2 linked regions of the Macaca mulatta genome follow. The protein of the gene in region 2 binds, or shares a complex with, the protein of the main gene of each other region. Links are inferred from orthologs where the notes say so. Each region holds a gene or a part of one and is shown on either strand. Other genes may lie near its edges.

Region 1 (3,819 bases), on a different chromosome or scaffold from region 2:
TATTTTGTTTTTCTCTGTATCCTTTTCACTAAATAAATAAATCCTTTTCACTAAATACAAGCGAATACTTTCTATGAAACTGTTCAACACAGAATAGTTTTAGGCTACTGTTATTATTCATTTCTTATTCTCAACAATTGTTTATTGTTATATTTTTATCTCCCTTGTATCCCCTCTATGTTTAACACAGAGGGCATACATATCCACCTAAGGCAGGAGAATCGCTTGAATGCGGGAGACAGAGGTTGCAGTGAGCTGAGATTATGCCACTGCACTCCAGCCTGGGCAATAGCAAGATCCTGTCTCAAAAAAAGAAGTGTTCCAGGCCGGGCGCAGTGGCTCACGCCTGTAATCTCAGCACTTTGCAAGGCCAAGGCGGGTGGATCATGAGGTCAGGAGATCGAGACCATCCTAACATGGTGAAACCCCGTCTCTACTAAAAATACAAAAAATTAGCCAGGCATGGTGGCAGGCACCAGTAGTTCCAGCTACTTGGGAGGCTGAGGCAGGAGAATGGCATGAACCCGGGAGGCAGAGGCTGCAGTGAGCTGAGATTGCGTCACTGCATTCCAGCCTGGGCAACAGAGTGAGACTCAGTCTCAAAAAAAAAAAAAAAAAAACAAAGAAAGAAAAGTGTTCCAGATTTCTGTTTTTTTTTCAGATTTTGAAATACTTGCATACACATAATGAGATATCTTGGGGATGAGACCCAAGTCCAAACACAAAATTCATTTATGCTTCATATACAGTTTATACACATAGCTTGAAGGTAATTTTATACAATTTTTATTTTATTATTTTTTATCTGAGATGGAGTTTCTTTCACTCTTGTTGTCCAGGCTGGAGTGCAATGCCGTGATCCAGCTCACTGCAACCTCTGTCTTCCAGGTTCAAGCAATTCTCCAGCCTCAGCCTCCCGAGTAGCTGGGATTACAGGAGTCTACCACCATGCCCGACTAATTTTTGTATCTTTAGTAGAGACGGTATTTTGCCATGTTGGCCAGGCTGGTCTGGAACTCTTGACCTCAGGTGATCCACCCGCCTAGGCCTCCCAAGTGCTGGGATGACAGGTGTCCAGCCAACATAAGGTTTTGTTTTTTTTTCAGACAGTCTTACTGTGTCGCCTAGACTGGAGTGCACTGGCATGATCTCAGCTCATTGCAACCTCTGCCTTCCAAGTTGAAGCAATTCTCGTGCCACAGCCGCCCAAGTAGCCGGGATTATAGGCGTGTGGCCCAGGCTCAAGCAATTCTTGTGCCACAGACTCCTGAGTAGCTGGGGTTACAGGCGTGTGACACCATACCCACTTAATTTTTGTATTTTTTAATAGAGACGGGGTTTCTCCATGTTGGCCAGGCTGGTCTTGAACTCCTCATCTCAAGTGATCCGCCCACTCTCTGCAACCTCTGCGTCCTGGGCTCAATTGTCCTGCCTCAGCCTCCTAAGTAGCTGGGAGGACAGGCGTGTGCCACCATGTCCAGCTAATTTTTGTATTTTTAGTAGAGATGGGTTTTGCTGTGTTGGCCAGGCTGGTCTTGAACTCCTGGCCTCAAGCAATCCACCCACCTCGGCCTCCCAAAGTTCTGGGATTACAGGCGTGAGCCACCATGTCCGGCCTGAGTACCTTTTTATATTAGTGATTTTTCATCTTTTATTTCTTGTTCTCTAAATAACAGTCATCTACTGTATAGTATAATATATACTTAGAAGCCCCCAGATCACATATGGAAACTCAAACAGGAGACTTAGGGCTTTCGATCTTAACTAGCTAAAAATTATAAAGTCACTAACTACATCTTATGATCATTGGGTATTTTATTGCATTTTGCCTTATTATTTTATTTTTAGTGAGAGGAAAATAGAAAAACAGAAGTGGTTGTATTAATCATATGGAGAAAACTAAGTGTCTCTGATTTAATACGGTTGAGCCCAAGATGGAAATTACTAGCTGACAAGAGGTGAATATATAAGTTTCATTTGGACATTTCATTGGACATCAGTCATGTATTTCATTGTGAAGGAAAACAAAAACCATGCACGAAATGCTAGATACAAATGGCTGCACAACCAGCACGACTGGACGGAAGACACTGTCAACACCAAGCTGTCAGCTCTCAGGCTGCGGCGCCAGCCACACCATAGCTCAAAATGTACAGCAAAGTCTAAACTCAATGTACAGAGAAAGGCAATTTGTGGGAGTCAGTGTATTCTTTAGGAAACTGTGTGCTCTGTCAGCCAGTACCAACGCCTTAAAAAAGAGAAGTCACACACTTACCTCAAGAACCACAATTACAGCATGTCATTAATTCTTTAATAAACATAGAATCTGCTTAAGAGGTTATTTTTTTGTTTTTTTTTTTTTGAGACAGGGCTCTCACTTTGTTGCCCAGGCTGGAGTGCAGTGGCACAATCATGGCTCACTGCAACTTGCACCTCCCGGGTTCAAGCGATTTTTGTGCCTCAGCCTCCTGAGCAGCTGGAACTACAGGCATGTGCCACCACGCTGGGCTAATTTTTATATTTTTTTAGTAGAGATAGGGTTTTGTCATGTCAGCCAGGCTGCTCTTGAACTCCTGGGCTTGAGTGATCTGCCTGCCTCGGCCTCTCAAAGTGCTGGGATTACAGGTGTGAGCCACCATGCTCAGCCTGCTTAAGTTATAATATAGTTATACTGTGGTAGGGGTAGAAGGCCTAGGCTAGAGAGACAGGGTGAAATGAATCTAGCCACTGAATCTTCTTATTCCTTTTAGACTCAATTGTTTAGACTTAGGGTTTTGAGATTTGCTTCGGCTGGCCAAGGATTTGTGGCTTAGTGCTGCGAATCCAACCAAGAACAATAAAGAGATGCTGCATAAAGCTAGGAAGAGCTGGTGCACCTGGCTCAGTGACACTGCAGTATCAGATGCTCTGGGGCACTGGAAAAGTAGGGTTTCGGAGGCAAAGGACTGAGGATCAGCAGAAAGCTGGTGCCACTGCTATCCCGCCAACTCTCCAAAACACCTTTTGGCCAGATACCAATTCTAAGTTTGGGCTCTATAAAACAGTCACACAGTTTTAAACGCTAACCCTGAGGATTAAGAAAATATGCGAAGAAATGCTCTTACTTATAGCTTCGAAAGTAAATCTTCCCATTCAGTGCAGTGAAGTGCAGAACATACTCTAATCCAGCCAGGCGGATATTTGATACTGTGGGGCCTCTGAAGAAATCTAAAAGCACATATTAAATTGTTAACAAAACAAAACAAATACTTGCAAAATTCAGTTACAACTGCATTCTAAACAGTTTTGTTCTAATACTTATCTAAAAAAGCACAAAAAACGATTCCTGAAAAATGTCTGAAGGTCTCACCCCTTAAGCATTTAATCTCATGACTTTATTTCTGTGTTCAGTTCACTGAGACATTTAATGTTTCAGTTTTGAAGTTCTTCCTCTGAGTCAGCTCGGCAACAAAAAATCATATCCATTAAAAAAATGTAAATCAAAGCATAAAATTTTAACCTATAGGTAGATGAAGGTAGCAAATTTCTGTAAAAATGATTGTTCAAACTGACTATTAAAATCAAATTAGCTTCAATTTTTTTTTCTATGAGGGAGGTCAACAAGAAAAAAATTCTAAGAAGAAATTTTGATTATATAAGCAAAGGATAAGAAACTTTATAAACTGTTAATGCCAGAAAAGAAACTTGGATATCAGGGATAGGCTTTTTTCTCACAAAGTGGTAATCATACCACTGGTGGCACATGCGAGCATTTTAATGATACAAAGCCAGATATAATTTACTACATATTTATTTTATCATGTACCATTCTCCATTTAT
Region 2 (3,819 bases):
TGACCGAGACAGCTGCAAGAATTTGGCAAAAACGTTTTTACTTCCAAGGTAAATGGAACTCGGTAAGTAAAGAATAAACTGAGAATGTGCATGTTAAAAATGATAGTTACAAAGGTGACTGAATGGCAGGTGTTGAGTTATATAAACTATAGAAAGGAATTATGTAAACTATGAATTGGGAAAATAACCCCTAACCTCTGAAAGGTCTGCTGTTCAGACTGATTTTCCTAATTAGTATGCATTGATATGGTAATAATATTTAATTATTTTTCTTCTCTCAAAGGTATAAAGCCTTAATTAAATTCCTTTGTTAGGCTGGGTGCAGACTCATGCCCGTAATCCCAGCAGTTTGGGAGGTCAAGGCGGGTGGATTGCTTGAGTCCAAGAGTTCGAGACCAGCCTGGGCAACACGTGAGTCCCCATCTTAAAAAAAAGAAAAAATTCCTTTGTTAGCCAGAGGTTAGTCTGTAGTGTTTTGTTTTTTTTTGTTTTGGGAACAGGGTCTCTCTCTGTCACCCAGGCCAGAGAGCCATGGTGCAGTCATGGGTCACTGCAGCCTCAACCTCCTGAACGCAAGTGATCCTCCTGCCTCAGCCACCACAGTAGCTAGGACTACAAGCGGCGCACTACCATGCTGGAGTAATTTTTTAAAATTTTTAGTAGAGGTGGGGTCTCACTATGTTGCCCAGGCTGGTCTTGAACTCCTGGGCTCAAGCGATCCTACCACCTTGGCCTTTAATAGTGCTGGGATTACTGGTGTGAGCCACCATGCCCAGCACTGGTTTTGTTTGTTTTTAGTAGAGATGGGTCTTGCTTTGTCACCTAGGCTGGAGTACAGTGCTGCAATCTCAGCTCACTGCAGCCTCCAACTCCTAGGCTCAAGCGATCCTTCTGCTCAGCCTCCTGAGTAGCTGGGACGACAGGCATAAGTCACCACTTAATGGCTAACTTTAAAAATTTTTTTGTAGAGACAAGTTCTTGCTATGTTTCCCAGGCTGGTCTTGAAATTCTGGACTCAAGTGATCCTCCTGTCTGGGGCTCCCAAAGTGCTGGGATTACAGGTGTGAGCCACTGCACCTGGCCTGTGGTTTTTTATAACAATTGTATGGAATCTGAGTTTGATCTCACCTCTAGTCTAGAGCAGTGGCTCTCAGGTTTCAGTGTGCAACAGCATCACCTGGAAGGCTTGTTAAAAAACAGACTGGTAGACCCATCCATAGAGTCTGTGACTCAGTAGGTCTGGAGTTGGGGCCAAGGACCTGCATTTTGAACAAGTTACCAGACAGGGCTGATGCTGCTGATACAAGGAGGGCACTTTTGAGAAACACTGCTCAAGAGAAGTTCTTGATTGTACATAAATGCATTTTGTAGCTAAATATACACTGAACAGCCTTTAATACAAATTGTGGCTTCATTTCGCAAAAAAAAGTTTCATATAAATAACTACAGGCTAGCTTCTGGCTAGTAAGAAATCTCATTAGAGCTTTATACCTTTGATAAAAGAAAAACAAATGTTATTACCACAGCAATACATACTGAGTAGGAAAATCAATCAGCACAAAGACCTTTCAGAAGTCGGGGGTTATTTTCCCAGTTCACTGTTTATCTAACCTTTTCTAAGCACCTGCTTCTGCAGAGTTTGATGACTCTTAACTATTAATATATCTGCTTTCCTTAAAGTTGCAGGGAAATAGGGGATATTTTTTCCTTATCTTGCAAGCTCTTTATCCAGAAATTTAAAGGACTGTAACCTTTAAAAACAATATGGTTAGGCATGGAGGCTCACACCTGTAATCCCAGCACTTTGGGAGGCCAAGGTTGGGGAACACCTGAGGTTGGGAGTTCGAGAGCAGCCTGGATGACAAGGCGAAACCCCGTTTCTACTAAAAATACAAAAATTAGTTGGGTGATGTGGTGGACACCTGTAATCCCAGCTACATGGGAGGCTGAGGCCCAAGAATCACTTGAACCGAGGAAGGAGAGGTTGCAGTGAGCCAAGATTGCGCTACTGCACTCCAGCCTGGGCAACAGGGCAAGATTCTGTCTCAAAAACACACAAAAGTAAAATTAAATAAATGCAAAATGTGTATGAAAGTGCTTTACAAAATACAGAGTATAACACTGACATATATGAAGCATTGTCAAAATTACTGAACTGTTAAAAAAAGAAGAACTTGTCAGATACCATTTTGGCTTCAGTTTCAGTGATTCAATAGTCACACTGTTGAGCTATGACTCAGTCAATAAACATTTTACAAAGTACTGGGGATGCTGTGCTACGTATGGGGATTTGTCATGCACATGCTTCTGAATTGCACAGCGGTAACTACACCCACCCTCGTCCCCACAGAATGTTCAGACTTACGCATTTATAAGTTAAATGGCTACAAACCTTCATTTTAAAGACCGGCTGGAATTCTTTCAGAGCAGATAATAATTTAATTTGAATCGAGGCTCTTTCGGCTTCTTTACCATCTGCAAAAACATCAAAGAGGGCATCCAAAGCTTCTCCTGCTACCACAAGGGAAGGATCTTTGGTGGTAACCTCAAGCAGAAAGCACCCAATATTCTGGAAACAACAAAACACATTTAATATGACTAACACCAGTCTCCAAAACAAGTACTAACTTTGAATGTGGCAATAACTCATGCATACTATTTTATATACAAATGCCAGGGAAAAATTAAAATTTTAAGAGATCAGACTTAAATACTTATAAACATACCAAGTATAAGCAAGATAAATTAAACATATTATAGTTTATATTCATAAAGTGAATTAAAAACCATAAATGATGTATGATTTAGGAAATCACTAAACTTTCCTCTCTACCTCTCTCAAAAGGCTTGCTCTATGATGTCAAGATGCATAGAAATCTTATCTGTAACAACGACAACAAAAAATCTGCTTTTAAAAGCATAAGAAAAACACTTTACGGCCGGGCGCGGTGGCTCACGCCTGTAATCCCAGCACTTTTGGAGGCCGAGGCGGGCGGATCACAAGGTCAGGAGATCGAGACCACGGTGAAACCTCGTCTCTACTAAAAATACAAAAAATTAGCCGGGCGCGGTTGTGGGCGCCTGTAGTCCCAGCTACTCGGGAGGCTGAGGCAGGAGAATGGCGTGAACCCGGGAGGCGGAGCTTGCAGTGAGCCGAGATCGCGCCACTGCACTCCAGCCTGGGCGACAGAGCGAGACTCCGTCTCAAAAAAAAAAAAAAAAAAAAAGAAAAACACTTTAGGGCCAGTCGCAAGTGGCTCACACTTGTAAGTTCAGCACTTTGTGAGGCCAAGGCAGGAGGATCACTTGAGCCCAGGAGTTCGAGACCAGCCTCAGCAATGGAGCAAGACTTCATCTCTAAAAAATGTAAAATAGGACTGATCTGAATCTAAACTAGTCTGTAGATCTAACTGTCAGTGTGCAGGACATAAAAGGATAAAACAACAAATTTAACACCACAAGGTAGCAATCAGATAAATCCAGAAGGCTGGACACCATATAGGACAATTGATTCAGGAGCTGAGAATAACCAGGTGGTGCCGGGGAGGAATTGTTCAAGATTAAGAGAGAAGGAGAAGACCCCACAAGAAACATAACATGTGGACTTCATCAATGTAAACAAGCTCTCTGTAAACAGATAATTTTGAGGCAACTGTAAAATTATGAATATGGACCGGAATTAGACACACTAAGAAATAACTGTTGCTGGGTGCAGTGGCTCATGCCTGTAATCCCAGCACTCTGGGAGGCTGAAGGGGGCAGATGGCTTGAGCCCAGGAGTTCAAGACCAGCCTGGCCAACATGGCAATAACCCACCTC

Evidence for each region.
Region 1: HEATR3 (region 2) and RPF2 share a complex: the UniProt entries of both Homo sapiens proteins name them as parts of the hexameric 5S RNP precursor complex. The link is inferred for Macaca mulatta from reciprocal best matches to the Homo sapiens genes HEATR3 and RPF2.

What each region holds. Positions count from the first base shown.
Region 1 is NC_133409.1:16,098,657-16,102,475, reverse strand, and holds part of RPF2 (ribosome production factor 2 homolog), read right to left. Parts: intron 3,208-3,819; coding exon 3,105-3,207; intron 1-3,104. UniProt on the Homo sapiens protein: Involved in ribosomal large subunit assembly. May regulate the localization of the 5S RNP/5S ribonucleoprotein particle to the nucleolus.
Region 2 is NC_133425.1:45,548,745-45,552,563, reverse strand, and holds part of HEATR3 (HEAT repeat-containing protein 3), read right to left. Parts: intron 2,570-3,819; coding exon 2,393-2,569; intron 424-2,392; coding exon of another isoform or gene 358-423; exon of another isoform or gene 1-357. UniProt on the Homo sapiens protein: Plays a role in ribosome biogenesis and in nuclear import of the 60S ribosomal protein L5/large ribosomal subunit protein uL18 (RPL5). Required for proper erythrocyte maturation.